4 linked regions of the Rattus norvegicus genome follow. The protein of the gene in region 2 interacts with the protein of the main gene of each other region in a pairwise test. Links are inferred from orthologs where the notes say so. Each region holds a gene or a part of one and is shown on either strand. Other genes may lie near its edges.

What was found.
Region 1: the proteins of Esrrg (region 2) and Deup1 interact in binary tests that used the Homo sapiens proteins (3 or more experiments, as listed by UniProt). The two-hybrid records come from large-scale screens. The link is inferred for Rattus norvegicus from reciprocal best matches to the Homo sapiens genes ESRRG and DEUP1.
Region 3: the proteins of Esrrg (region 2) and Pnrc2 interact in binary tests that used the Homo sapiens proteins (3 or more experiments, as listed by UniProt). The link is inferred for Rattus norvegicus from reciprocal best matches to the Homo sapiens genes ESRRG and PNRC2.
Region 4: the proteins of Esrrg (region 2) and Nr0b1 interact in binary tests that used the Homo sapiens proteins (3 or more experiments, as listed by UniProt). The link is inferred for Rattus norvegicus from reciprocal best matches to the Homo sapiens genes ESRRG and NR0B1.

What each region holds. Positions count from the first base shown.
Region 1 is NC_086026.1:20,659,128-20,666,178, reverse strand, and holds the end of Deup1 (deuterosome assembly protein 1), read left to right. Parts: intron 1-201; coding exon 202-313; exon of another isoform or gene 314-319; intron 320-3,660; coding exon 3,661-3,837; 3' UTR 3,838-4,492; downstream 4,493-7,051. UniProt on the Homo sapiens protein: Key structural component of the deuterosome, a structure that promotes de novo centriole amplification in multiciliated cells.
Region 2 is NC_086031.1:102,135,941-102,143,092, forward strand, and holds part of Esrrg (estrogen-related receptor gamma), read left to right. Parts: intron 1-3,783; coding exon 3,784-4,199; intron 4,200-7,152. UniProt on the Homo sapiens protein: Orphan receptor that acts as a transcription activator in the absence of bound ligand. Binds specifically to an estrogen response element and activates reporter genes controlled by estrogen response elements.
Region 3 is NC_086023.1:153,386,201-153,394,115, reverse strand, and holds Pnrc2 (proline-rich nuclear receptor coactivator 2), read left to right. Parts: upstream 1-3,609; 5' UTR 3,610-3,757; intron 3,758-4,441; 5' UTR 4,442-4,646; intron 4,647-5,073; 5' UTR 5,074-5,091; coding exon 5,092-5,496; 3' UTR 5,497-6,594; downstream 6,595-7,915. UniProt on the Homo sapiens protein: Involved in nonsense-mediated mRNA decay (NMD) by acting as a bridge between the mRNA decapping complex and the NMD machinery. May act by targeting the NMD machinery to the P-body and recruiting the decapping machinery to aberrant mRNAs.
Region 4 is NC_086039.1:54,704,021-54,711,969, forward strand, and holds Nr0b1 (nuclear receptor subfamily 0 group B member 1), read left to right. Parts: upstream 1-3,637; 5' UTR 3,638-3,644; coding exon 3,645-4,818; intron 4,819-7,167; coding exon 7,168-7,412; 3' UTR 7,413-7,766; downstream 7,767-7,949. UniProt on the Homo sapiens protein: Nuclear receptor that lacks a DNA-binding domain and acts as a corepressor that inhibits the transcriptional activity of other nuclear receptors through heterodimeric interactions.

The sequences.
Region 1 (7,051 bases), on a different chromosome or scaffold from region 2:
TTTTATGGTTGTAGACAAGATGTGAGCCCTCAGCTGCTCTTTTGCTCCATTCTTATGAACGCTAACCCTTTGAAACTATAAGCAAAATTAAATACTTTCTTTTACAAGTTGTCTTGGTCATGGTGTTTTATCACCACAGTGGTGGACGGGGAACTAAGATATACTCGGGAAGGACACTGATATCCATTTGATCTCTTTTAGAATTAGCGAAGACTGTGAGATGAACAGAAGCCCAACACCCTTGTCGCCTTTGCCATTTCAGACCAAAGAAATGACAAGTCCATTGGCTGGTGACAATGAAGTCCTCCCTCTGGTGAGTCCCTAGAAGCTGATTTTCTCCTTAAAGGTGGATTATTTAATACCGAGTCTAATATAGAGAAGGACAGCTAGATTAAAATGTCACTTCCTTTTGTTTTGGTTGTAGCTGTTTTGAGGCAGGGTCTCATACAGTCCTCTCACGACTCTCGATCTAGACCAGGCCCATCTGAGAGATCCACTTGCCTCTGCCTCTAGCGTGCTGGGATTAGAGGTGCAGCACCATTTCTGACCTAAGACTACAGATCATTTGACCACACCCATCTCAAACAGAAGGAGGATCTGATGCCCCATCATGAATCAATGGCTATACCTTTTAGGTTTTTGTTTGTTTTTAGTTTTTAGAGACAGGATCTCACTCTAGCTGAGACGAGAATTCAGCTTTTAGCACAGGCTCACTTTAAACTGAAGCAGTCCTCCCAAGTCAGGTTCTCAAGTGTTCGAGTGACAGGAATGAGGCAGCAAACCCAGATAGGTTTTAACATAGAGTAGCATGTAGGTCATTCACAGAGCAACAAAGTAACTCCTAATCCTCTGAGGTTGGAGAGTGTTGTTGTAAAATTATAAAAATGGCTGTCTTTTACCCCCACTCGATCCAGCACCGCAGTGCCCCATGATATCTGGTAGATATCTTGCCAGAAACACACATCCCAACTCCGTGGCGGCCCAGCATCTCTGCCGCCACACACTCTCCCAAAGTCAAATCGCCACAAGGAAGAACACACAACACAGTAACCTCTGATCCAATTGATGAGATATAATTGCCCACCGAAACATACAGAGCCCTGTACACATCCATCCCTTAAGAACATTCATAACAGGGGTGGGGATTTAGCTCAGTGGTGAGCGCTTGCCTAGCAAGGGCAAGGTCCTGGGTTCGGTCCCCAGCTCCGAAAAAAAGAAAAAAAAAAGAACATTCATAACAACCTGTGAAGGTACAGCGTGGAATCTTAACATCCGCCTCCATGTTCTCTCGGTGCCTTCCCCTCCCTTCTCCATTCTCCCAGCCTTTCCATCCCAGTCTCCTCCTCTTCCCTCAAACTTTTCTCCCGCCCATCCTTCCTTCTCGTCCAATGACAGGCCTCCTTCTATCTTGTACCCGCCTCACCTGTGACATCATCCCACAGGAGGGGTTAGCCAGGAATGTAGGCCACTTTCAGTGCAGAGAAAACCCTCCCTCTCCACAGCGTGAGGGACCCTGTGAGGTCTAGAAGGCACAGGGAGACTGCTTTGTGTTTTTCACGGGTGGCACATCTGGGCTCAGGTGACCTGAGAATCAACAGACACTTCCTAAGGAGCTCTCAGTTTGAGAGCCACTCTGCTATTGCATCCATATGTAATCTCCTGTGTGGTTGCCAAGGACTTAAGATGGGACATGCAAGGCGCTCTGTGTCCTCCTGGGCTCAGCAGCAAGGGAGGGAGTAACCTTTGCAGAGCGTGCAGGCTTCTGCTACAGGGGGCACAACCACGTTCTGGTCTTAAATTTCTGCAACACGGCCTTCCCCCTGAGGCTTATAAAATGTACAAGGCATTCTGTCCAATGAAGATTTTTCTAGAACAGGATTTACCACTCACCTCTCCTCAGGGGCAACATTTCTAACCTATCCTGAACCCACTATGGAACCCCCTTTGTTCAGACTTCTGTGCTGCCCAGTGATAGCAGCATGTTGTTTTGTGTTCAATAACACAGAACTTTGGTGCATGCCAACTTGTACTCAACATGTATATCCCTGTCTGCCCCACCCAACCTAAAAACATGCCAAGCCCCTGGGTCTTTGTGGGGCTCTGTTTCACTCTCTGGAATGTGCATATTGTCAAGCCTTGGATTCATGGGCTTCACTAACCTGATGTTATTCCACAGGGATGGTCTTTGCCCTGGACAGAGTGCGTTTGCCCTGCTCAGGGTGTTTGCCCTGCTCAGGGTGTTTGCAGACCCTGCTTGTTCCAGGCTGTTTGTTCAGATTTGGGTGGGGAGGCTGCACCCATTGCAGAGGTACAACCCAGAGGTTGGGATTTAACACTTGGATAAAAGTTCAGGACTCTGCGTCGCCTGCTCTGATCACAAGTTTTTATGTATTGCTGAACTAAGCCTTCTAACCAGGTTCACTTCCATAAAGCTTCCTTCTTCCTAACAAACAAGAGCAAGGGATAGTAAAAGCAGCCCGGTGCAGTCGTGCATGCCTGCAAACTAGCTAGCACTATTAGGGTAAAACCAGGATGACCAGGAACTCAAGGTCATCCTCTGCTACATGGCAAGCCTGGGCTACATAAAACACTGCCTCGAAGATTAGTGAAGAGGAAGAAGGATAGATAAAAGAACTGGGAACTTAAAATATAATTTTAAAATAATTTTCTATTTTTTAATAAAACTAACATTGTCTTTTATTCCATAACATTTTCCCTCTTATTTAAATATACACCAAACACATCACAAGCTGTGAAATGTCCCACATCTCCCAGCCAGGTATAATGGACATCACTCAGATTTCTTCCTCTAAGCCTGGCTTGTAAGGGAGGACCAAAGATCAGTCCCATACATACACACACACACACACAGACACAGACACAGACACACACACACACACACACACACACACACACCCTTACACACCACTACACACCCTATACATCCCTACACACACACTTACACACCACTACACACCCTACACATCCCTATACACACACACACCCTTACACACCACTACACACCCTACACATCCCTACACACACACACACACACCCTTACACACCACTACACACCCTACACATCCCTACACACACACACCCTTACACACCACTACACACCCTACACACACACCCTTACACACCACTACACACCCTACACACACACACACACACACACACACACACACACACACACACACACAGAGGCAGGCAGCCACCTCACCAGGATACCCTCAGCCAGCCTCCTCCCTACACCACTGCAACTCCCCTAGGCGTTCAGCCCTCTCACCCAGCCTAGCCTGATTTCCATTTCTGCATGAGCCACCTTTATGCAATCTGCCTGATCTTCACCTCAGACTGAGCTGATTACTGGCTTGTGAGTCAACAAAGTGTGTTCTGCTCAGGATCCCTGGTACTTACATCCACCCTGGAACAGCAGCTGTCACTGCAGTTTCCTCTCTAGGGCTCTTTAATGGGTTGGTGCTGAGATGTCTCAAATCCTTGAGGGTTTCATTAGCAAGGACGAGGTTACAAGAGGAGGAGGGCTCTGCCCAAAACCCAGTGTTTCACTAGGCCGCAGAGTTGACTGTCAGAGAGGTGCATGTCTACGGTTGTAAAGCCTCTGCATCGGTCCAGCCTCACTCTCCCTCCTCTCTCCAGTCTCCACCAGATATATCCTTCCGGGCTTCCCTAGCTGCGCAGCACTTCCTCATGGAAGAAGAGAAGCGGGCCAAGGAGCTTGAGAAGCTGCTCAACACACACATCGATGAGCTCCAGAGACACACCGAGTTCACGCTTAACAAATACACCAAACTCAAACAGAGTAGACACATATGAGTTGTGCACCTCTTCTGTTTGCTTCCTCTCCATGAGGAAAAAAAAAGCTTCCGAGAAACCCTTGCAAAGCGGACCCATAGAACCAAGCAACCTAGTTTAGTCTCCACGAGTAAATCACTTCTATGAGGCCACTATAAAATAGGGTTTTGTTCCATCAAGCTGCTTCTGTTTCTGCATTTCACACACTAATTGTTCTGTTAGGATAGATAAGCATGACTAGCCCCGAAGGGTTTCTTTCCTGTCTAAGGAATGGTTTGGGATTAAAATGGAATTACTTCTGACTTTAATCATGTATGCTAAGGCCCCATTTCCTGTGTAACAGGCAGCAAGAGGGGCAAGTGCTCAACTCCAAATGTGAGGAAGCTGGGTGCAGGCACTGGGCTGGGCACAGACGCAGGGGCTTCTAAGGTGAAAGGGCGATGCAGACACCTAAGAGTTGTTTCCGAAGCAAACGGATAGGATATGCCTTTGCCACTTTTACATTCTCTTTTGTAGTACGCTGTCCTAATACCAAAGACTTCGAAAGTGCAGTGTGCACAGTAAAAGTCACTGTGCCAGAGAGCCATGCTGCCACTGACAAGTGCCAGGCACCATGCTGCCTCTGTCCCCTTGTAATCACCACTGTTTGTAATACAATAAATAATGCAAAATTCAACTGCTTTGCAAGTGTCCAGTGTCTGCAGAAGTCATATCAAGAAAATGAACAATGAGATTCACATAACAGATACACAGGATGGTGACCTGATACCCCTGTCTTTAATGATGGAATAAACACACAGACACATGCTATAATGTGCACATATGACCCCCGCCACATACACTCCACATATCAGCACCATTGACACTTAAGCATTTGATATCAGCAAAACCAATATCTTAGGGGTTGGCATGGTGCCTCAGTGAAAAGGAGGGCTTGCTGTGCAATCATGAGGACCTGAGTTCAGATCCAGGCAAGCATGTGAAGAGACAGGACGTGGCCATACATAACTGTAGGCCTCACGCTATGGGGGGCAGAGATGGGGAAACCAGTGGGGCTTGTGACTGCCGACCTAGCGTCAGCTTCAAAGAGAGAGCCCGTCTCAAGGAAGGAATGTGAAGAGCGACAGGGCAGGACGTCGCTCTCTGGCCTCTGCATGTACCCACAGGTAAGCACACATTCAAATGCACACATTTGAGAACCAGTAAAAAATAAAAGTATCCTGTAGTAAGCAGGATAGAAGGTAACACCTGGATTTCTGACTCTTGGCTCTCATTACAACAGCACTTCCTGTAAGCAGGCAGATGATCGATAAAGATATATTCAAACCATCAGAAGAATTCCATGTTGCCGATGTCCCCACAAAAGCCCCTTGTGAGGAAAACCATAGGACTTTGTGGTATCTTATGCTGTGGACTAGTTTCTAGGAGGGGAACAATGAAAATAAAAGCCCACTTGAAGCCTTGAGGTTGATCCTGCACTGCGGTGAATTTGTTTTACTACTTGTATTATGTTAATTAGGTTTCTGAAATTACACGGAAATTCACATGTCTGCCTGCCGGATGCTGAGGGTCATTGTCCCCAGTTGGGCTTTGATTGGTAAAAAAAGTTGATGGCAGCCAATGGCTGGGCAGTAGACAGAGGCAGGACTTTTAGGATTCCCAGGCAAGAAACGGAGGAGGAGGAAGGCACCATGCATGGGGTTGGTGGTGGGTAAGTGGGGGTGGGGGGCTTCCAGGCCTAAGAAGTTAGGCCCGGGAGACAAAGAGACTGCCAACACGTAAGAGTCAGAGCCCAGGAAGGCTATAGGCCTAGATCCAAGGTAGCAAAAATGGAATATAGATTTTAGTAATCCAGGAATACCATAGGAGAGGTGTTAGCAATGTGGAAGTTTGGGAGAAGACCAGCCATTGAGTTGTTTGTGTTAAAAATAGAAGGCTCTGTGTGTGTGTGTGTGTGTGTGTGTGTGTGTGTGTGTGTGTGTGTGTGTGTATGATTCTTTAAGAATCCAGAGCACTGGGGTGGGTAACAAGGAACATGCACGCTGCCAGGGAGAGTACAGTGGATTACTTAACTACAGCAACACTGCACTGCAGCATAAAAATAGAAAAGACGGAAACTCCGACGACTGGAGAGAGGACTCAGGACTTAAGAGCACTGGCTGCTCTTCCAAAGGTCCTGAGCTAAATCCCCAGCAACCATGTGGTGGCTTATGATGCCCTCTTATATCAAGCAGGCACATGCAAATAGAGCACTCATATAAGTAAATAAATACATTTAAAAAAGGGAAGGCTGAAATCCCAAGCAAATAGAGAAAAAAGCTTGTGTTTCCCTTAGAAGATGGAAGAAAGAGTTTCTTTACAATGAGGCCTCTGGCTAGACCACCCCAAAACCAAGAAATGGTTAGAATTCACGTTTCCTAAGCCCTGGACTACTTGAGTCTCTACAAGGGTCCTCATAGATGAACCTTGTTGGCCGAAATCAAGGTCTCTAGGATACAGCATTCTTAGACCTTGGAGGAAGGACAGGGAAGAGTGTGTCCTAAGGACCAGCTGCCTTCATGGACGAGCTTATCAATTCATGAGCAGACTTGCTTTAAGTTGCCCCTTCAGCACTCCACCTGATATCAGCTTTCAGTTTCCAGTTTGTTGCTTTTTCTTAGGAAGAGGAAAAAAGGTAATAAAATAATTGATGGGGCTGGCAAGATGGCTCAGCAGGTAGAGTATTTTCTGCACAAGTCTGACAGCCAGAATTTAATTCCTCGAACCACAGAAGGTGGACGGAGCGAGCAGACTCCACGATGGCGTCCTCTGACCTCCCCAGGCCAGCTGTGACATGTGCAAACCTGTATGCACACACAGACAAGAGATACTTCTTTAAAAAAAAAAATTAAGCTTCTCACTCATCCAGTCAATTTGTGGTATTTTCAAGTGTGATGACCTGCTGTCTTAGTCTATTTATGCCACTGTAGCAAAATACCTCAGCTCAGATAACTTGTAAACAGTAGTCTGCTGTTCACAGCCCTAGAGGCACAGAGGCGCCCTGGGGGACTGTTAGGAGAGGTTGAGGGGAGAGATCAAGGTTCTGTTTCTCTCTCTCAGCAAGGAATGCCAAAGATTGACAGCAAACCACAGGCCACTAGGAAGGACGCCAGACCCCAGACTCTTCTTCACACCATGCAGTAGGAGCCCGGTCAACACCTTGATTTCAGACTTTCAGCCTCCAGACCCATGGCAC
Region 2 (7,152 bases):
AGAAGACAGCCTTACTTGTTCATTCTTAGGTGTCATCCACTCTATTACTTTCTCCCTTTTCCCTTCACTTCCTTGTCCTCCTGTTCTGTCTGTCTGTCTGTCTGTCTAATCTATCTGCATCTGTCTATACTCTGTCTATCTACCTGTCTTTCTTTCTGTAGGTTTGTTATGTATCTATATAATGTATCTATGTATCTATCTATCTTATCTATCTATATGGTATCTGTCTATCTATCCTCTACCTATTTATCTATATGTATATATGTAACTATCAACACACACACACACACACATATATATATATATATATATATATATATATATATATATATATATGGCATCTGTCTGTCTGCCTATCTATCTGGCATCTATCCATCTGTTTGTCTGTCTATCATCTATCACAGTATGTATGTATGTATGTATGTATATATCTATCTATCATCTATCCATTTTCTATTTATCATTTATCACATGTATGTATGCATGAATGTATTTGTCTGTCATCTATAACATGTATGTATGTATTTATGCATATGTCTGTCTGTCTGTCTATCGTTTTGATACAGAGTCTCTCACTAGCATGGAATCGGGCCGGTGGACTAGGCTTCTAGCTGTCCAGGCCGAAGCATCCCCTGTTTTTGTCTCCCCAGTCCTGAGATTACAAGTGCATGCCCAGGACTTATTTTTTAATGTGGATTCTGGGATTGAATTCAGACAGCATTGTCTTTCTAGGCCTTGTATTTTCTGTTCTGAGATTGCATCGTAGTTTACATATACTGGCCTTAAATTCACAGTTTGTAGGCAAGACAAGCCTTAAGCTTGTGGTCCCCTCTTCTCAATCTTGCTAGCACATAGGGTGACAAGCATGTGTCCTCAGGCCCAGGTACGTATGGTTTAAAGACTTTTAAACTAAAAATAATTACGTGGATATGGTAGGAGGTTGTATGCACATGAGGCTAGAAGACCTGGAGGATCCCTTGGAGGCAGAGAGGCACGCAGTCATGAGTTGAGGGTTGTGGGAACCAAACTCATGTACTTCTGCAAGAGCAGTACATGCCCCTAACAACGGAGCCATCTCTCTAGCCCTCAGTCTTGTTATAGACCATAAGCAAGCAGTATTCACAGCTCTGTTGGCTTCCATACAGTTTTGCTCCAAGGCTTGGAGTGAGACTTGAGTTCAGACGCCACTTTTCCAGTTCCTGGTTATGTAATCTTCATTATACTTCAAAACAGCTGATGAGTGACATGAGTGACAACCTTCTTCATACTTCCAGTAGACAGACGTCATTAATTAAGGGTACAGTTTATGTTGGAAAAGAACCGCACATAACCTACAGCACACACCCAGTTTATTCACTCTCACTGGTGGCTAGAGTGACCAGACCCCATTTAGAAGATCCTGTCTCCATTCCGGGGGACCTCCTTGGCAGCAACACCCCTCAACTCCCTGTTAGCATCCAGGTTACTATAAAGTATGGACCGAGACTTTCAAAAAGACAGCTCGCTAAACTGTCCTCATTTTTCATGGATAGGTCTGAACAATGTGTCATTGACATGTACACAATGGTGACTTAGCAAATTGCTACCCTGTTGGTTTCTGGCCTGGTTCCTTAATCTCATCATCTACAAAGTTTAGAAGCCCAGGGGGAGAAAAAGTCCACAGGGAACAAGTATTGAGATGACTGATTACTAAGTTTATAGAGAAAGGGAGAGGGATGCCTGAAGAAAGGTGGTAAGTTTTGTGACCAGGAAGTTCAATCAGTGTCCCACTGGGGTACTGGACAGGGGCACCAGAAAAAAGGAAAATACTAGGTTGGGAGTCAGGCAGGCAGTGGAAGAGTTAATTGTTAAAGCTTGAGAAAAGAAGGAGAGGGAGACCATCTATGGTTTAGTAACCAATAACTTCTAACCAGTAGCCCAAGATCATAGTGTATGGAAAGGCAGTCCAGTAATAAGTGAACTGCCAATGTAATAGTTTTAAATTAAAAGGAAGTCGGGTTGCAGGGCTGCTGTAAGTCAAGCCGACCTGCTTTCTTTCCAACACTGACTTGAGGAGAACGCCTAGCCCACAGTGCAGGCATGGGGACGAGGAGAAAGGTCTATTAATTACAGTGCTCATTAGCAATGTCAGGGACAAGCAGACGCAGGGGGAGAGGATGCCGCAGCCAGGACTGGCAAGGGGGATCACTTTTTTCCTTTCCCTAGCTTTTGGGGAAGGGACAGTACCAGTGGATAGGTGAAGGCAAGGAGGTCTTTGGGTGGCTTTCTCCCTCTTTCCACACATGGCCATTGGCTTGAGTTCAGGAAGAAGAGAAGTGCTGGACAGGGAAAGATACTTGAGGTAGAGGTAAAGTCCTACCTGCCCTTGCGCTTTGTTTTTGAAAGTGTCCACTTGGAAGAGCCACGCAGAGATTTCTGATAGGAAATCCCATAGTACCATCAATGGGGGAGGGAGACGCGGAGGAGAGCATGAAATTTGTTCGGTGATAAGGCATCATTTGATTTATAGTGAAAGTGATAATTGCATTCATTCGCTTATACTGTGACTACTCCCCCAAATTCCAGAGAATGACCATCATGCACAGTGGGCTCCCGATAAATCAACTTTCCACTGGGAAGCAATTATCTGAGTCCCCTTCTCAACTGTCACCTTTTCATAGTAGCATCTAGGGTTCTTAGAGGCTTGGCTAAGAGGAGCTTTACACCGTAGTGAGGCAGAAAGCCAAGAGGACCAATTATGTCTTTACGTCTAATTACCTGTATAGAAGTCTACCCACTTATGGGGCCAATGGAGAGAGAGGGGGGATGATGTGGTTCTTCTAGGTTAGAGAAATAGTTTGTCAGATTAGGTACCTCGTCTCAGAGCCTTGCATAAGGTTATGGGGTTTTTATGCTCTTAAGGGGGAGTCAAGGAGAGGCCCATCATAAATCTAATTTTTCTAAAATGAGGAGAGTCTTTCCGATGCTACAGCTCAGAATGTCTCCGATTTCCTGACTCACAGGTACCGTGCAGTCTAGGTGGAATTACTGAGTCATCTTTCAACACCTCTCTCCCTCTCCCTCTCCATCTCCCTTTCCTTCCACTCTCCCTCTCCCTGTCTCTGTCTCTCTGTCTCTGTCTTTCTCTCTCTCTTGCATGCACGTGGGCGAGTGTACACACACACACACACACACACACACACACACACACAGATGCACACACACACAGATTATACATTAATCCATTATATCAATCTCCCACTATGCTTTGTGAGCTGGTTCTCACAGGACATCCTTATGGAGCCTGACAATACCTGCTCTGGCTGGAAAAGAAACATTGGATCCTTTTTATTGTAAAATGAACACAGCGTCATGATGTGGAGTGGAATATAGAGTGGAGATAAATGCAATTTGAGGGAAGACAAGGACTTTGCAAATCACCACTGCTTTGTTGATAAATTCAGGATCCGGAAAGCCAGGGTAGCACTGACAGTGGTTCAAGAGAAAGATAAAATAAAAGCAACTGGACCCTTTAGAGCCTTTGTTTATGGCCTGTCTGGGAGCTTTGATGTAACCCTGCCATGCCCTTATGCTGATTACCTTCTTGTAGAACAAGAGATATTGACTGGAGAGTGAATGATGGGTAGTCCCAGCCCTTAGGAAGCTCTCTTAAACAGCAATGCCTTTAACATACCAATATTCTGCTCTCCTTCCTCTCTGCCATGTCTTTGCGTCTACATTGTTGGGACTCAGTTTGACAGTCTCTCTCTCTTCTCTCTCTCTCTGTTTCCCCCTCACTTTCAGGCTTCTCTGCAGAATGTCAAACAAAGATCGACACATTGATTCCAGCTGTTCGTCCTTCATCAAGACGGAACCCTCCAGCCCAGCCTCCCTGACGGACAGCGTCAACCACCACAGCCCTGGTGGATCTTCCGACGCCAGTGGGAGTTACAGTTCAACCATGAATGGCCATCAGAACGGACTGGACTCGCCACCTCTCTACCCCTCTGCTCCTATCCTGGGAGGCAGCGGTCCTGTCCGGAAACTGTATGATGACTGCTCCAGCACCATCGTAGAGGATCCCCAGACCAAGTGTGAATATATGCTCAACTCCATGCCCAAGAGACTGTGCTTAGTGTGTGGCGACATCGCCTCTGGGTATCACTATGGGGTTGCCTCATGTGAAGCCTGCAAGGCTTTCTTCAAGAGGACAATTCAAGGTGAGTGCCACCTCACTCTACTCTATTTCTTTTCTCTGGGACTCATTCTCCTATTTCATATCATGCATACTAATAATTCTATTTTGTGTAGAAAACATAAATATATGGAGGATGCATATAATAATCCCTCCCCAGCTGCTCACCCTGTGCCTTCCTGTTCCACTACAGAGCTCTTTGTAGTCAATGATGATGAGGACATTTCAGAGAGCATAGTAGGTCTGAAGAACAGCTGAGCAGCGTGTAGTAGGTTCACCGTCCATACATTTCTCACAGATGTTAGGAAGTGATAAAATTTAAACTAATGTTTCTCTAACCTGCTCATGTTTTAAAGCCCCTTGGCAATCTCACCAACACGTGGATTACTGTTTCCTTTCTCCAGAATTTCTGGTTCATTAGACCTGTGGTGGTCCCTGAGAACTTACATCCTGCAAAAACAGCCAAGGATGTTGATCCTGGCAGTCCAGGGGTGGCCATTTAAGAAACACCACTCTCGATATATTTATCATGAACTCAACATCTTTTCCTTGTATCTGGGTATATGTTTCCAATGTTTCTGAATGAACTTCTGCAAAAATTGTACCAAGGAAATTGCATTTAAGTACAAAACATACCCCAAACAAATACCAGGGATGCATAGCCACACCTTAACAAATTTGTAGATTTAGAAATAACGTGATTACTTCCTGTGCAAAATGTTGAATGATTGAAATTTTATCTTCTCCTATAAACCAGTCATATACAAATATAGAACCCAGCTTAAACCAGTCATATACAACTATAGAACCCAGCTTAAACCAGTCATATACAACTATAGAACCCAGCTTAAACCAGTCATATACAACTATAGAACCCAGCTTAAACCAGTCATATACAACTATAGAACCCAGCTTAAACCAGTCATATACAACTATAGAACCCAGCTTAAACCAGTCATATACAACTATAGAACCCAGCTTAAACCAGTCATATACAACTATAGAACCCAGCTTAAACCAATCATATACAACTATAGAACCCAGCTTAAACCAGTCATATACAAATATAGAACCCAGCTTAAACCAGTCATATACAAATATAGAACCCATATCTATTTGGGCAGAAGCACACTAGTTATTCTGCTCATGCTGCATACACACACACACACACACACACACACACACACACACACACACATACACACACGCACGCACGCGCACACACACATAAAGATAAATTTATATGTCTATATATTTTATCTATCTATATCTATCTCTACCTCTATCTATCTATCTATCTATCTATCTATCTATCTATCTATCTATCTATCTATCTATCTATCTATCTATCGAGACCAGACAGACAGATATAGGCAGGGAGACAGACACATAGATGATAGACATGTCTATGTTGGAATTGAACTCAAGGTCTTTTGTATGTGCTCTGCCATTGGGCAACACCTATAGCCCCTAATTTACATATGTTCAATAGCCAGTCTTATACACAGAATCTAACTTCTTATATATCCATACTTCTCAAGCTTTTCTGATTATTGGGAATTTCCAGGAAACAATATTTTTAAATATTTCTTCCAGGGCTTGAGCCCCTAGTATCTGTAGAATTGGTATTGGGTATGGCCAGGAAAGGAGGAATTTTTGGTAGCTTCCTAGGTCATCTTTAATGTAGAGTTAAGGTGACAAATCAGTGCCCTAGGCTGTGTTAATATACCAGTGGTCCTCAGAGTGCGATGACTGTGTCAGAACTGTCAGCATCACCAAGAAATGTTTTAGCTATGCAAACCTCCTTGTAAGATAACCCAATGAGAGTCTCTGGTGCAAGCCTGGAACTCTAGGGTTCACAAAGACACCTAGGTGTGGAGGTTGGGGAATGTTACCCTGAATCATATTGATGTTGATTTACCAATGGCATCCTACCATACATCTGATGCTTTTTGTGGAATAGAAGTAAAGTCAAATTATTCAGACCCTTGTTGGTCATAATACTTTGGTTTCTAAGGTATATAAGAGGTATAGCTTGCTCAGCACTAATACTTCTGACATATTTTAATAAACAGTGACTTTAGAGTATCTTACTTGCATGTGGAGTAACTTCCCTACCCTTGCTTTCTGTTGTGTTCGGCCCTGAGTGCTGCAGATGGAAGATAGCTTCATACGTGCTCAGTCCATGCTAAAAGCATGCTACCCTGTTGGACCATAACCCCTTTCATCTGTATTCTTTCTTACAGTGTCTTCATCATGGCTGAGAGCACAGGGTTTACAGACAGCACACAAATATGGTGGCCGAGTGTGAGGCTCATTTCTAGTTCGTGCTTCCCATGGCTGAAAGTCATTGGGCAGTTTTTACAGAGCATGTGCCATTCAAGAGGGAGACACTTTCAGAACTTTGAGAAAGCATGCACTGTGCAAGGCACCATAGCTGTTATAGTATGAAGCAGATATTTCATAGACTCTTGTGGCTTGAAGAGAAATCAATCCAAGTTTGTGTAGTGGATTTACAAACTCATTAACCACCGAAGGCTGCATCTTCCCATTTTCTCAGTCAAAAGACCTGCTTTATTTTTTTTCTTATCAAAATCCTCCAGCCCTTGGGTTATCTTTTAAACACCCATACCTAGTACCATACTGGGGACAATGCTTAAGGAAAGATGAAATACAAAGTCCCAGTAAAGGTTGAAGATGTGGCTCAGTGACCCAGCATGGACTTAGCATGGACAAGTCCCTAGATTCAATTTCTTTTACCACTGCCAGGGACAACAGTAAAGGTATTCCTTAGGGTATTTGCACCAAATACATTTTCATCCCATTGACTGACAATTGCAAAAACAAAGGAAAAAAACCACCTTAAATCTTTGATTTGTTTTAGCAGTCATTGGCCAACATCGCTATACTCTCAGGATTGCAGAGTATATAAAATCCAAATTGCTAGTAATTTCTGCTAAATTTGGATAGCTTTTGAC
Region 3 (7,915 bases), on a different chromosome or scaffold from region 2:
TGCCTTCTCAGGTGTTGTTGATTGCTACGCAGGGCTCCATGACAAGGGGCTGCCAGAGAGTAATTCAGATCTGTGGCTGAACTAGTGACACACTGGACTCCGCTGGATTGAAACATTCATGGGCCCATCCCCCAGGTTTGCGAACGTGGGTGTTAATGGGTAGCTCAGATGGCAATGTTCTTTAAGGTTTTGCTGGCTGAACCCCTCCCTCCCTGAACATCACGAGAGCAGTGGGAGTTTCCCACGGACTTCCTGTGCTTCCTCCGTTTGGTAATTAGAATCAGGTGACTGTCACGGCTGGCAATAGACTCGAAAGTTCTCCGGAATGCGTGAACGTGTAGAAACCAGCCCCAGATGCTTCCTTCCCCAGGAAACAAATGCATGGGGTGAGGAAGTCGGTGTGGGGCTTCGTACCAGTTTGGAAACACTTTGAGAACCCTGAAGCATAAACCGTACCTCAGGGCCCATTGCTCGATTCTTAACCTTTCTTTCTTCCTTTCTTCCTTTCTTCCTTTCTTTCTTTCTTTCTTTCTTTCTTTTTTTGGCAGGCAGTATAGATTCTGTGTTTCTAAACTGAAGCAAGCCGTCAGCTTAGCAGGCCTGCAGACATTCAAACTGACCCCAAATTTGCAACCAAGTTTAAAGAAGAAAGAACAAACTAAGTTTAAGTGGCCAGCTCTGCAAGTCAGTAGACTAGAGATTTGTATAGATGTGCCCCACAGGGTGACTGTGCCAACCCCCCTGGCCCTCCAGAGTCTAAACTATTAATAGACTCTGGTGTCACTTGCCTTCCGTCTTTCTACTTCTATTTAGATTAGGCAAGAGAATATTCACAAAACAAGCACACACGCTCACGTGCGCGCACACACACACCTTTCTCTCTCTCTGTATGTGTGTGTTGGGGCCTGTATGGGACACACGTGCCGGTTGAGGCCGGAAGTTGACATGGACATCCTCCTCCTTGGCTCTTTATTTCTTCATTTATTGCATGTGCATGTGTATGCTGTGATATGTCGTGGATTTCAGAGGAGAAGTTGTAGGAGTCTGTTCTCTCCTCCTACTTCGTAGGTCCCAGAACTCCAGTTGGTAGGGGACTCTAGGGGAGTCTCTAGGGGAGAGAGGCTGGAGTGGCTTGACCTGCTAATGGAGCTCACCAGACTCACCATTTTTGTGATTGTTTTGGACTAACAATCACACTAAGCCTGGCTGGCCCTTAACTCAGAGATTCACCTGCTTCCACCTCCCAAGGGCTGGAGTGAAGAGAATCATTACTGTGTCCTTCATTTTGTTTTTTGAGATGTTCCCTAACTGAATTTGGGCTATAGATTATGCACCTCCCACAGCAGTTACCAACTTCTGTGAGCCCAGAAGTTCTGAACTCAGATTCTCAAATATATCACAGCAAACACCTGACCACTGACTCCAGCCCCTGCCTCTTTTTAATTAATGTATAATTAAAAGCCTTCTGTGGACAAACCTTCAAGCTGTACCTTCTTAGCAGTGATAGGTTCTAATTCCCTTGCAATGAGCAGGTTGTTCATGTCTGGAGAAAACATGGACAAGCTTCCCCAAATCTCAGCTCCCCTGTCTCACAAATTGGAAAGGGCTTTTCCTCTTTTTGGATCCAGATAAGGCTTCATTTACTTGTGTACTTATGGTGTGGCAGAGGGTCAAGCCCCAAAGCAGGCACTAGATAAAGTTTGGCAAAATGAATGTTTTAAATTAAATATGCACTAGCTATGGTGGTGGATGCCTTTAGTCCCAGGACTAGGGAGGAAGAGGCAGCCAGATCTCTAAGCCCGACTTCAAGACTGGCCAAGGCTCCACGGTGAAACCCGTCTTAAAAACAAACAAAAAAATGCTGGTGCAGTTATTAGCTCTTTGTCCTCGAGCTGAACTGAGATTTGCATCCTCAGGAGGCTTTGTGTCAGCATTTTCCTATCTATTTTGTTTTGTTATTTGAGACAGGGTTTCTCTGTGTAGCCCTGGTTGACCGGAGATGCATTCGGCTGACCTGGGATGCATTCTGGAGAGCAGGCTGCCCTTGAACTCAAGAGGGTAGAGATAGCGGCCATCTGTAAGGCCTTACCGAGGATGTGTTGCCCTCTTTTGGCCTCCCAGGGCACTGCAAGCATACGACATACAAACAAAACAGTCACACAAACAAAAGGGAATCAGGCACGAAATGGGTGATCAGATATCCTGAAGAAGGAATTATTTTTCACATACAGTTCAGAGTTGGGAGTTCTTGTGGGCTGATAGCTATTAATGAGCTAGAACAGTGCTAAGACATGGTGAAAGCCAGAACCATGCTCTCCCAAGGCAGCCCGTGACCTTGTTGGAGAGAGCAGATTCAGGCAGATGGCAGGACATGGGCTTCATGGCACTCAAAACTTCTGGCAATGTTGGGAACAATGTCCTCTAGGTCAAACACCTTTTAGGTACACAGAAGACACAAACATCGTAGGGTACATGAACTCTAAGGCTCTTGAATCTCACTGTAGCTTCTCGCTTAGAAGTGTATATTGCCTCAATATCTTGGAAATCAGAATAGCAGCTTGCCCTAAAAATTGCCAAGAGAATGAAATGAGACGATGTAAGTCTAGTACAAGATAAGGGGCAGAGAAAGCACTCATGATGCACGTGGGCAGGCTTGCAAAATTCGGGGGGCCAGCTTAATTCTGGATGGCAATGACTGTATAGATGTATATGTGTATATATATATTCACGTGTGTGTGTGCGTGTGTGTGTATGTGATTTTGCATCACAATTTGGAGCCAATGAAATGCTTTTGTTTCATTGAGATGTGGGGTTTGCTATAAAGTCCAAACTGATCTCAAAATTGAGAGGCTGGGATTACAGGCCTGAATGGGGTAAGACACCTGGCACATTTGCCCCCCAAAATTATTCATAGAAATTAGCGTTCACCTTTGAATGTTGACATTTCATATATACTTTTGCTTTTTTTTTAAAAAAGCCGATATCTCTCCTTTTCCTGAACCTTGCTGTCATTCTTGAGCTGTATCTTTCTTTTCTCTAGTTTTTCCATTTTCTGAACAAGACCAAAAAAATGTGTAAGGGACCAGCCAGTGCTGTGTATAGAAAAAGCAGGCCCTGATGGTAGTGACTGTCTCAGGTACTGAAGAAAAGTGAAATTAGATCAGAGGGGACGCGAAAAAGGAAGATGGTCATGTGCAGAATGCTTGCCGGGCTCTGGGTGGGGTGACCATGACCCATGGCAGCTTCTGGGGCGGCCCAGTGACTGCAGGACAGAAAGGGGCAGGAACAAACACAGGGCGCTGCGCAGGGGTCTGGTCAAGGAAGTAAAACACCGGCTCGGCGTCCACAGAGGCCAACAGAAGAGCAGCTGCCCTCGCCAGCCCGCGGGGGAGGACCCGCAGCGCGGCTCCCGAAGCTGGGCAGTTATTCCCGACATGCTCCTCCCGCAGGATTTCAAACCACGACAACAGCCATCCCTCACTTCCTCCGGCCCGCCCCAGCAACAGGCGGCGGCCGGCATCTCATTGGCTGCGGCACGCGCTGCTGCGTCCTCATTGGCTGCACAGTCTCCGATCCTCTTCCGCGCTTGCAGCAGCCTCCATTTTGTCGGTAAAGGCAGTAGGAGGTTGGTCCAAGAAGAAGTTGTGATCTGGGACTCGCTCGTGGGCTGTTTGGTCCGTGCATCGTTTCTCCCTGGAGAGGGAAGGAGGCTTGGAGGTCGAGAGAGAGCCGCCGCCGCCGCCCGAACTCGAAGTCGGTGAGTGTGGCGGGGTCGGCCATGTTGGCCACAGCGGGCACCATTGTTGGGCCTGGCTGAAGAGGAAGCAAGGCCGGGCGGGCGCGACTTCCCGGGAGCTGAGCCGCCGGCGGGCTGAGGCGGCGAGCTTGCAGGTTCGCTGTGTGGGCGACTGGGAATGCGGACCGTCCGACTTAATAAAATTGGAGGCCTTCTTAGCCTTGTGCGGGTGTTTGCTAATTTGACTAATTAGAACATTGAGAGAAACCATTCACTTTAGAGAGAGACGTGATGTTTAAAAAAAAAATGTAAGCTTATTATGGCTTCTGAAAAATTATGGTACCACTACCGGAGTCAAGCGAAAGCACGATGCACATTGCTGGGAAAAGAACCTTGGTGTGGAAATAGCAGTGTGGGTTGAAATGAAAGCGTTAAATATGGATGGAACTTTAAAAGCACGGTCCCTAGTTTCCTGGTGTGGCCACAGAAGCGAACGCTTCCTTAGTTTTACTTTAAAACAAGAGGAGTTGCTAAGTCTTCCCAAAAGTTCCCAAGAGTTGAAAGCTGACAATGAGGTCAAAGAAAGTCGTGGTTTCTCTCATACAATCATTGAAGTTTTGAGGAAGCGGCAACAGCCATTTCTAAAGACTGTCTACGCGATCACTTTGTGGGGTTGTTTTCAAGTAATTATCTTTCCTTTTCTAGCTACGACTTCTCTCAAACTTGTGTGCTGAGGAGACTCGATGTGGGCCTCAGCTCCTAGGCTGAAATCAGCAGATTGGCTCATGAAAACTTGTGTATTGAGACAAAGGAAAGGATCTAGCAGAAAGCAACGTCTCTTATTCTGGGCTTGGCAGCAAGGAAGAGGCCAAGTAGTGGAAATTCTGCAATCTGAAAAGCAGACTGAAAGGTATAATAATGACTCGCATCATAGTGGGGCCACTTATTTTACAATGGAAGCAATTCTAAACTATTAAGGTCAGCGGCCATGCACGGTGCTGGGGCACTATTACGTGCCTGTAACTCCAGTACTCCTCTTAAGTTTGGGGCAAGACTGCTTCAAGTCGGAGGCCAGTCTGGTACAGGAGGCCTCTCCAGAAACGGGTTCATTTGGGTGTGTGAGGTTATCAGGTTGTACAAAGAATGAATAGGTTGCTTCAATTGTTTTTCTTATTTTGATTTCACAAACTGGTTTTTGGCTCAGGACTTTAGTCTCTTGAGGTAGATGGTTTTGCAGGGGAGCCTGTCTAATCCTACCTTGTCATATTTTCAACTGGAGCTACGGAAACGTCAAAGGGGACATGTGGAATTTAACTGATGTTTACATGTATTTACAGGTGACAAAGAAGCTGAAGATGGGTGGTGGAGAGAGGTATAACATTCCAGACCCTCAATCTAGAAATGCTAGCAAGAACCAACAACAGCACAATAGACAGAAGACCAAGGATCAGAATTCCCAGATGAAGATCGTTCATAAGAAAAAGGAAAGAGGACATGGGTACAATCCATCGGCAGTGCAAAATGGGGGAAAAACCAAGAGCCTTTCCAACAACTCCAACTGGAATGCTAGCTTATCAAGTCCTAGCTTGCTTTTTAAGTCTCAAGCTAGTCAGAACTATGCTGGAGCCAAATTTAGTGAACCACCATCACCAAGTGTTCTCCCCAAGCCACCAAGCCACTGGGTTCATGTTTCCTTGAACCCTTCAGATAAGGAAACGATGACATTTCAACTTAAAACCTTACTTAAAGTACAGGTATAAAATTAGATTAAGTACTGATTTTAAATTTTTTGATGTTTACACATAGCCAAAAGGTTTGACATTTTGTGAAAAACTAGTAATTTACAAGTATAAGCATTCACTTATGTGCTGTATATACACTATACTGTTATAGTGTCAATGCAATTTAAACAATTTAAGTGACTAATCAATTCTACTTGGTAGTATTGCTAACTAAATTCAAGTTTAGATTTGAGAAACAGTAAATAACCTTAGCTTTTGTATTGATTGATACTAATATTCATGGGTTGGTACACAATTTCTGAAGAAATCAGGCAGCAAGCAGTTTCATGGTCTAGGGTCACCCAAACTCTCTTGGGCATTTTTTAGGAAATGGCTGAAGTTCCGCTGTGGTCAGCGTGTAAAGGGCAGGCAGAGCTCCTTAAATGCAGTGGGCAGGCATTTACCTAGAGATGTATGTACCAAACCCTTTCCAAAAACAGAGAATGCTGGATAACCTTTTCTATACAACAGCATCCCACAAAGCTGCTAAGGGATCCAGCCTCACCTATACAAAGCTTGCTTGAAATAGGGAGTTGTGTTCATGACATTTAAGCCATGTATATACATGTAATAATAAGCTTGTAACATAATGTTTTCTTGGCCTTTATTCTACAAAATAAGACTATTTTTAGTATGAATTTGCTGAATGTATGACCATGAACTGTTTTGAAAAATCTTATGGCCTAATTTTAAAGGTCTCCAGTTTTTAAAAGGTTGCCCTTATGCTTAAAGTGCCAGTGAATCAATGTAAGTGATATGCTAGTGAACTACACAAAGTCAATCTGTTGTATTAGGTTTTTTATAGCTGAAAAGATTTAAGCTATATGAGATTTTAATAAACCCAAAGACTCATTTTGACTTTATCAATCCTAGGTAACCCGATTAATGTGCAACCCTTCCATTTATGTAAAAGTTTCTTATATAATTAGACCAAATAGCAAATTAGTTTTCTCAGTTAAGTTCAGAGCAGATAGAAGTCCAAATCAAACACTTGAGTATCCATCCTAAGGGAAAAGTTAAAAAAATTATGATCTGACTTTGAAAAGTGAAATTGATAAATAAACTTTCTCCCCAGTATATTGTTTTATGTAAGTGATTTATAGCTGTCTACTTGGGATGACTGTGATGCTGCTACTTTGCTGTTTCTTTTAAGACAGGTTTCTCTAGCTTGAATGTCAGATTGACAGTGTGCACAGCCCTGCCCAACTATAATTCCTTTGTGCTAATAGGGAAAAACTAATGCAAACTTATGTAGGAACATATGAGTTACACAGCCTCGTTTAGAGCAAGGGCTTTAGAGTCCTCGTCTCAAAACCAAAGTGTATTTTAGCTTTTGCATACTTGCTTTCTAGTGGCTAGACTTCCCACTCAGGGGCAACTTAAACAATCCCACCTTGCAGACTCTGCTTTCTCATGCAACCTGCAGAGAGAATGTATTCTCTCAAAGCTCCAGTGTAACTCTGTGATAACAGCCAATGTAAAGTTCTTTTTTTTTTTTCCTTTGTGCCTCTGCTTATACATTTTTATGTATGCATTAGCATGCAGCATATGCCTGAATTTCTAGTTTGGGACTAAGATGCTTACTGACTTTATTAGACACTAAAGCATAGCTCAAAGAATAAAAAAAGCAGCCATGACTGGCCGCAGGGTGGCACACCTTTAACCCCAGCCTGGTCTACAAAGCAAGTTCCAGGACAACCAGGGCTATTGACATATTTACAGAGAAACCCTGCCTCCCATGGGAGTGTGGGAAGTACTCAGGCTGAATTAGCCTTCAAATTAATACAGTTGCATGAGCTTCTAGACGAATATTCCTGCCAAAGCTGTATAACGTATAGCAGAACCCACTAGAGAGTAGGCTTCTATGTATTTTGGTGATAGTGTGCTACATGATAGACTGAAGTTACCTTAGATCTATTAAGCATGAGGATTTCAGATGGTTCTAAACTGCACAGCTTCCCATGCTGTCCCCCATAGGCAATGACTCTTAAGGAATACATCTCTAAAACCTCAGAAACAAATGTCTAGTTGGGTAGTTATACCTGTAAGGTACAACAAAGTCTACAGAAAAAGCAAGATTTTTTTGAAAAGTGCCTAGACCAGTTTATTTTACTCTCCAACATTCAAAGAAATGTGATCTGCAAAAACAAAACCTGGATTACAAAGACCTTTTACTTCTTTACAAACTACTTTCTAAAAATTTACATGCCTCAAGTTTTTATTCCCCCCCCACTGCACACACAAAAAAAAAACACCCCCCAACAACAAAAAACCAAGAACTACAGTTTTAACACAGGGTGAATGGTGAACCAGCTTTACAAATACACAAACATTAATAACTAACAGGATTGGAGGGACAGGAAAACACTCAAGAGTCTTCTGCAACAATGGATTGGGT
Region 4 (7,949 bases), on a different chromosome or scaffold from region 2:
TTGCAATGCTGTATTTAAAGTGATGTTCTGCTAAATGCCAGGTCATCAGAAATAAAAAAAATGATTATCCATGAAGTTACTATATCTCCATTTGTAAGTAACAAAGAGTCCAGCAAGCATTTCTATAAATCATTGTATAAGAGGAAGATATAAAAATCCTTTAAAAGCTTACAAGCATGAGTACATATTAATATGAATTTATAGAAATTAATCTACATTTCACAACAGAAAACTTAAGTCATATTGTCCTCAGGAGAAAAAGGATGGAAGTGACATCCTCAGGTCAGATAGAACAAGCCAGGATGATTGTCCACACTTTCTTTCTTATATGGAATTGAGAGTAGAGGATGGCAAATGACTGTAATATAGTGACATATATTAAATGCATTAGTAAAATTGCCACAAGGAGATCATGACTCTGTCTAATTAATATCTAATTGATGATGATGATGATGATGATGATGATGATGATGACGGTGGTGGTGGTGATGGTGGCTAGAGAGATGGTTCAGAGGTTAAGAGCACTGACTGCTTTTCCAGAAGTCCTGAGTTCAATTCCCAGCAACAACATGGTGGCTCACAACCATTTGTAATAGGGATCCGATGCCCTCTTACGGTGTTTCTGAAGACAGCAATAGCGTACTCACATATATAAAATAAATAAATAAATCTTTTAAAAATAGTAATTAAAGGACACTTTGATGCCTACTATAACTTTAGAACAAATGAGCTCAGGTTTAAGTCTGGGTCTTTTAACTGTTAATCCAGTTCTCCTGTTGCTTTGTCACAAGGATTGTAACAATATTTATACCAGGAACCATGAATCTAAAAAGCTTGCTAGGCTAGCTTCCCTCAAGAGTCAGCACCACAATAAGTGAGTAGGAATTGTTACCCTCTATGTTCTCAGATGATGATCTTCTCCTTTCTTTCAAAAGGTACAGTTGATCAATAAATATACTTTTGGGGCTCTACTGTGTGTGTTGAACATTGAGCCAATGGGTAGGGACAGAGTGATAGATACCTTGAACCTAAGCGACTTTGATACAGATTAGGGAAGATTAATAACTATCATATAACTCGGTAAACATCAACAGGAGTTGAGAAGAAGACAAAATTATAACCACCAATAGGACCTTAAGGTGGGGGACTTTGGTAGACTGTTTTTCAGCTAGACTGCTAGTTTGGCTAAGAAGAAAGATTGTTAAGCAAGGAGAATAAACCTAATGAATGCAGTAGCTGAAAATTCAAAGTGGCAAATAGTGGAATGGACAGTGAGCTAACGCCCTCTATGAATTCTTGTTGAAGATCATACAATCTGTCTGGGAGTTTGAATCTAGAAATGCAGACATACAGAATAAGTAGAACATATGCTTGAGCAGAGCATGGGGCTGAGTTTCAGCAAGAGAGACAGCTTTATTATAATGCTTTTCAGAATTACTTCTTGGCCCTCAATTGATCCCTTGTCCTACAAACAAAACTTGTTATGTTTAATATTCGTCTATTTTAAACACATTAACTTGTGTATAAGAACTATATCCCAGATATTACTGTTCACTTTTCCACACAGCGAAAGCTGAGAAATAGATGCATTAAATAACTTTCCAATGCTTGGAGAATGTGTTCTCAAGGATGGGCAGGTCCCAGTCCTCAGAAGGATTTATTTATTTAAAAAGTTTTGCAGATATGATTAGATTTGGAATTTTGAGATGTTGATATCATTCTGGACTATCTAGGTGGATCTAACATATTCACAAGCTTGCGTAAAAAATCAGAGGAGATGGAAACAGAAGTTGGACTAATGTGTCCAAGAGCCAAGGAATGCAGGTAGTTTCTAGAAGGTAGAAGAGGCAAGGAAATGGATGTTTCCTTAGAACTACCTGGCATGAATGGTACTTTGAGTTCAGATTTCTGGCTTCTCAAACTGTCATATAATAAATTTCTATTATTTGTGTTGCCATAAACCACTACATTTGTAATTTTATAGCAACAATAAGAAATATGTTTCCCAAGGTTATGGAACTGCAAAATAACAGAACCAGGATTCAAATGGAATTCATCTGGTGCCACAGTAAGGAATTAAACCTTTGTGCCATAGAGGTCAGCACAGGCAGAATACAAATTAACTGCTGAATACTCTGCCCTACATGAGACATCATTATCAACCCTCCAAGACTTGGGGTGCATCGTATAAGAGATGCAAAGGGAATGTAGGAGAAGAATAATATGAAACTCTGTTTTCTGGACATTATACAACCATTGCAATCTTGAACACATAACAGCTATGGCTACCCAAACAAGACAAATATTAAAATAAATAAATAAATAAATAAATAAATAAATAAATAAATAAATAAATAAACAAACCTATGGAAGTAGGAGGGACACTGTCAGCAAGTATGTATAAAATTTTTAAAACAATAAAACGATAAAAAAAAACTGAGGGTATCCCCAATTTTCTTACACTTCAGTAGTTCCTACAGAATTGGATAGCGGAGGTAGAAGAGGAAGAGGGAGAACGGGACAGAGAGGGGTGTCCCATATCAATTAGTGTGTTCCGGTCCCCTTTCCTGTTCTGTAAGAGCAACGGCTTGTACTCTCAAAGTTATGGGGCTAGTGGGTATAAGAATTGGCTAGTCGTACAAAAGTCACATAGTTGAATAGAAAGAGCCCCCTGGTCTCTTGTTTGAGTGAGACTAAAGGTGGGAAGCTCCGTGACAAATGCTAGCATTTAGGCTTTCTGATTCTTGTATTTGTTGTTAGTATCTTACAATGGTTGGGAACAGGGACAGTTATCACTGACCTGCTTCTACAAGAGTATGAGAAGTTCTCACAGTAACAATCTTGTGATTAGTCTGTTCCTAGGAGTCAGCTACAAGTACATAATGTTTGCAGCCCCCAGCTCTTTGATCCAGCATCTAGGACAAAGCGGGTGATTGCTCGAATTAAACTGAAGATGTATTATTACCTGCTTCTGCCAATGCTTTTCAAATGTAAGGTGCATATGTGTAACCTGGGGGTGAATTATTTTACAACTCACACTCAGATATTTTGGCTAGCGCTCAAAAGAAGGCATTTCTGCCTCCGGGTGTAATTCTGACTCTACGTGTCTGGGGTCTACACTTTTCAACATCTTAAGAAATGAGAACACACTCAGCAAACATTATACAAAACGCAAGTTATAAAAATTGTGATCATTCTATAAAAGTTTATAAAGATGTCACAGAAATGGGCTATTTCTCCCGTTTAAGCACGTCTTTCTCCAGAAAAGGAAATAAGTTAGAGGTCGGAGTCCTCTGTCGGAGTCCAACTGCAAGAGTTGGAACAGAGCCCTAACTCCCTGCCTGAGGTTCGCTGCTCTCCTCTTTCCCAGGTAGGGGAAGGAGTAACCAGAAGAGTAACCAGACAGAAGGGGGGCGGTATGCCAGTTCCTGTGCTGAGACGCTCCCCTTAGATTTCCAGATCCTAGGGAGTGTTTGCCCCTTTGAACTTCCGAGGTCATGGCCACACACATTCAAGCGCAACAGCGCGTCCCCCTCTGCGCCCTTGTCCTAGCGGAGGAGGCGGATGCGCTTGCGTGAGCGTTCAGTATAAATAAGTCCCAAGCGGCGGCCACTGGGCAGAACGGGTTGCAGGAGCCTCAGGCCATGGCGGGTGAGGACCACCCGTGGCAGGGCAGCATCCTCTACAATCTGTTGATGAGCGCGAAGCAGAAGCACGGGTCTAGGGAAGAGCGAGAGGTGCGCTTGGGGGCTCAGTGCTGGGGTTGCGCCTGCGGTACTCAGCCCGTCCTGGGTGGGGAGGGACTGCCCGGCGGGCAAGCCTTGTCCCTTCTGTACCGCTGCTGCTTTTGTGGGGAGAACCACCCGCGCCAGGGTGGCATCCTCTACTCTATGCTCACCAACGCCAGGCAGCCTAGCGGGGCGACCGAGGCGCCCAGGGCGCGATTCAGAGCTCCTTGCTGGGGCTGCGCCTGCAGCAGCGCAGAGCCCCTGGTGGGCAGAGAGGGGCTGCCAGCTGGCCAGGTCCCCTCGCTCCTGTACCGCTGCTGCTTCTGCGGAGAAGAGCACCCGAGGCAGGGCAGCATCTTATACAGCTTGCTCACTAGTGCCCAGCAAACGCACGTGTCTCGGGAAGTACCCGAGGCACATCGCGGAGGCGAGTGGTGGCAGCTGTCCTACTGTACCCAGAGTGTGGGTGGCCCGGAGGGGCTTCAGAGCACACAGGCCATGGCGTTCCTGTACCGTAGCTATGTGTGCGGTGAAGAGCAGCCCCAGCAGAGCAGCGTTGCCTCCGACACGCCCGTGAGAGCAGATCAAACACCAGCAGCTCCGCAAGAGCAGCCGAGGGCCCCCTGGTGGGACGCCTCCTCTGGTGTGCAGCGTCCGATTGCACTCAAGGATCCACAGGTGGTGTGCGAGGCAGCGTCGGCTGGCCTATTGAAGACCCTGCGCTTTGTCAAGTACTTGCCTTGCTTCCAGATCCTGCCCTTAGATCAGCAGCTGGTGCTGGTGCGGAGCTGTTGGGCGCCCCTACTCATGCTTGAGTTGGCCCAAGATCACCTGCACTTCGAGATGATGGAGATTTCCGAGCCCAACCTGATGCACGAAATGCTCACCACCAGGCGGCAGGAGACCGAAGGCCCAGAGCCCGCAGATCCCCAGGCCACAGAGCAGCCACAGACGGTGTCTGCGGAGGCTGGGCACGTGCTCTCAGTCGCTGCGGTCCAGGCCATCAAGAGTTTCTTTTTTAAGTGCTGGAGTCTGAACATTGACACCAAAGAGTACGCCTATCTGAAGGGGACCGTGCTTTTTAACCCAGGTAAGCATGACAAATTTGTACACTGTCTCTTCAGGTCAGAAAAGCACCACCTCTACACGCAAGCATTTATGAGTTTTCAGTGGCTATAGGAATTTTGGAGTCCACGTTACTTGTGACTGACTCTGAAAAGCTGATGCATACATCTGGAATGGCCAGTCAAGTGGTCAAGTGGGTGAGCTTCTGCCAGAAACTTGGCACTGGGGGTGGTGGTGGTGTAGGGGTGTGTGTGTGTGTGTGTGTGTGTGTGTGTGTGTGTGTGTGTGAACAGTAAGCTCTCTACGTTTATTATCTGCTGCTACAGAAGTTTCTGCCTTCATGGGACATGACTGACTCTTCTCTCTTTAGCCGTCCTTTAAATCCAGTGACATAACTTTTAAAAAGCTTTTGCTCATTTCACACAGCTCTTCCTACATCCCCATTTTCCAAATTTGCCAATTAAAGGGCTCCTGATGTGTGCTGCAGGGGATAGGGTATGTTAAGTTTTCCCCAGCTCCTCCCCTTAAGAGTCATTAGTTCAGCCCAGCCCAGATCCTGCAAGTCCGAATCCTCAAGTGGCTCAGGTGATATCTGAGGTCATCTGAGAAACAGTTTCTCTTTCAGCCAATGCTATTAATCCTGCTCTGCTGAGATTCAAAGTCGAGACCAAGGTCTCAGCCTTCAGAAGTCTGTATTTCCAGTAGTTCGCCACTTGCCTTGACCCTGTTTCACATCCTTTGTCACCCTTCACCACTCTTCCCGTCTCTCTCCATCCCTCTCTTATTCTTCCTCTATTCTTTTCCCCAGTACTCTCTCCATAGGAGTTTATCCCACCAGATTGTATGCTTTTAAAGAGTAATGCACCCACATTTGTGTACAATTCAAGGTCTGTAAAGCATGTGGTCTCTTTCCTGATTACCCTTTTGCATTCTCTTGTCTTTATGTTTAAAGCCTTACAGTTGACAAAGACACAGAGCTTTAAAATTATATATAAACATATCAATGGGTTTTAACATAAGGGCATAAGAAAAAGTAAGGAGATATGTAAACTGTGGAGTCCTTTTCTCTTTTGCCCTTACATGGAAGGGACATTTTGTGTGGGTGGAAGGGAACAAGTAGGGGAGAGGGGCAGGGAGATGCTCGGAGGAGTTGGAAATGAGGACCAACCAAAACAGTATGAATGAGAACTCCATAAGGAAAACTCTTAGTTTGTATCTTAGAAAGAATTTTTAATGCAAGAGTTAAAAATAGGTACCTTAAGGAAAGGGCCAGAGGCTGTGGTGTGAAAAGTAATGTGTATCTGGCTTAAGAAAGCTTTCGACAAGAGCCATCTCTATGTAGACCTAGAGAGACTATCAATACACACAATCAAATAGGTATCCAAACTTGACTGCCAGGGTATAGAGTGGAGGATGTTGATGCTGTCTTAATTAGAAATATAATCGAGATAAGAAGCATTGCTTGATTTTGTTGTTTTCTTTATAAGCTATATTTGCTCATAGTAGATTCCTACTTATTTTCTGTCACCGTTATTTTCGCCATGATTATTTTTAAACATGATTTTTAAGTACTCTCCTTGAATTTTGTAAAAGAAGTAAGAAAGATGATGTCATCATTTAAACCAAATCTGTTTCAAAGTTGCTTCTGACTGATCTTTCACTCTGTGATATTTTCATCTTTTAACCTTTGAATGCTATTAAAAGCATGCTTTAAAAAAAAGGGGGGGGAGATTCTTCTGCCAGTGTTTTTCTCCAAAAGAACCCTTTGAAACATTCATTAGAATCATAATTTTTAGAACTTCCTACAATCTGGAAATCATGGTCCAGTGAGGAGCATCAGTAATCTTTAGCATCAGAGTCACTATGGCCCCTAGTGTAATGTCAGCCTGCAGTTCAATAATCCTAAACACACGAGTCAGAGTTTATGGCTGTAAACTTTACAATCTAAAGACTGGACAGTCCACATAATTGTAGGAAAGAAGGGCAATGTAATTGTAACCTGGTATATTATCAAATGGTATAATTCTCACAGGTATATTTCTCTTGAAATAACATCAATTTCTTTATATTTTCACAGAACATGCCCTGGTGTGCTGGGAGGCATCGATTATAGTCTATTGACATAAAACTGAATGCGTCAGTGTTTGTGCACACTGCAGTGTCTTTGCACATGCCTACTGCATATCCGCTAGAAATTAGTGCATGTTTTTATCCTTAGAAGTGTTGCCTCTGAAAACTTAGAACTCATTTCAGTACCTCCCTCTTGCCCCCAGAAAGCCCTTTAAATCAAGAAGCTAGCGTACTTTTTAATTGGAAAGGGACCAAATAAAAAAAATGAGTATGGTCTAAAATAGATTTTTTTTTCTACTTCCAGACCTGCCTGGCCTGCAGTGCGTGAAATACATCGAGAGTCTTCAGTGGAGAACTCAGCAGATCCTCACTGAGCACATCAGGCTGATGCAAAGAGAGTACCAGATCAGATCGGCTGAACTGAATAGTGCCCTTTTCCTGCTGAGATTCATCAACACCGATGTTGTCACTGAACTCTTTTTCAGGCCCATCATTGGTGCCGTCAGCATGGATGATATGATGCTGGAGATGCTCTGTGCAAAGCTGTGAAGGCATGCAGCCACTCAAGTGCATTTTACTACACATGGAGAAAGGGGGGGCTGTAGGCAGAAGAGTGCTCAAATTTGTGAAAACAAACTTTCTTGTATTTTTACATGCATAGTATATTTGTATCCAATTGAAGAAATACTTTAGTTACAGACAATGTAAAAACCCCTCTGCTCCATACTGGTTCCTTGTGAAGAAAAGCATTTGTTAACAAATAATTATTTCCATAGATCTTTAAGAGTGTTATACTATGCTAACAAGCTAATTTCCACAAAAATAACATCTCTTTCCATTAACCCTGCCAAATAAAATTTATAATATTAACTTTTAATAAAATTTAATGTACTAACCATTAAACGGACTGGAGAGTTTTCTTGGGGTTTACAGCTTCCAAAAATTCAAACATAGCTAACATAACTGAAGGTACACTCATAAGTAACTTCATGGGATTTAATGCCATCGTATATCAGTGCCAATGGAAGGTTATTTTGCCTGGTTTTACTAGTTCCATTACTGTATAAAAGATTGTCCTTATTCCTG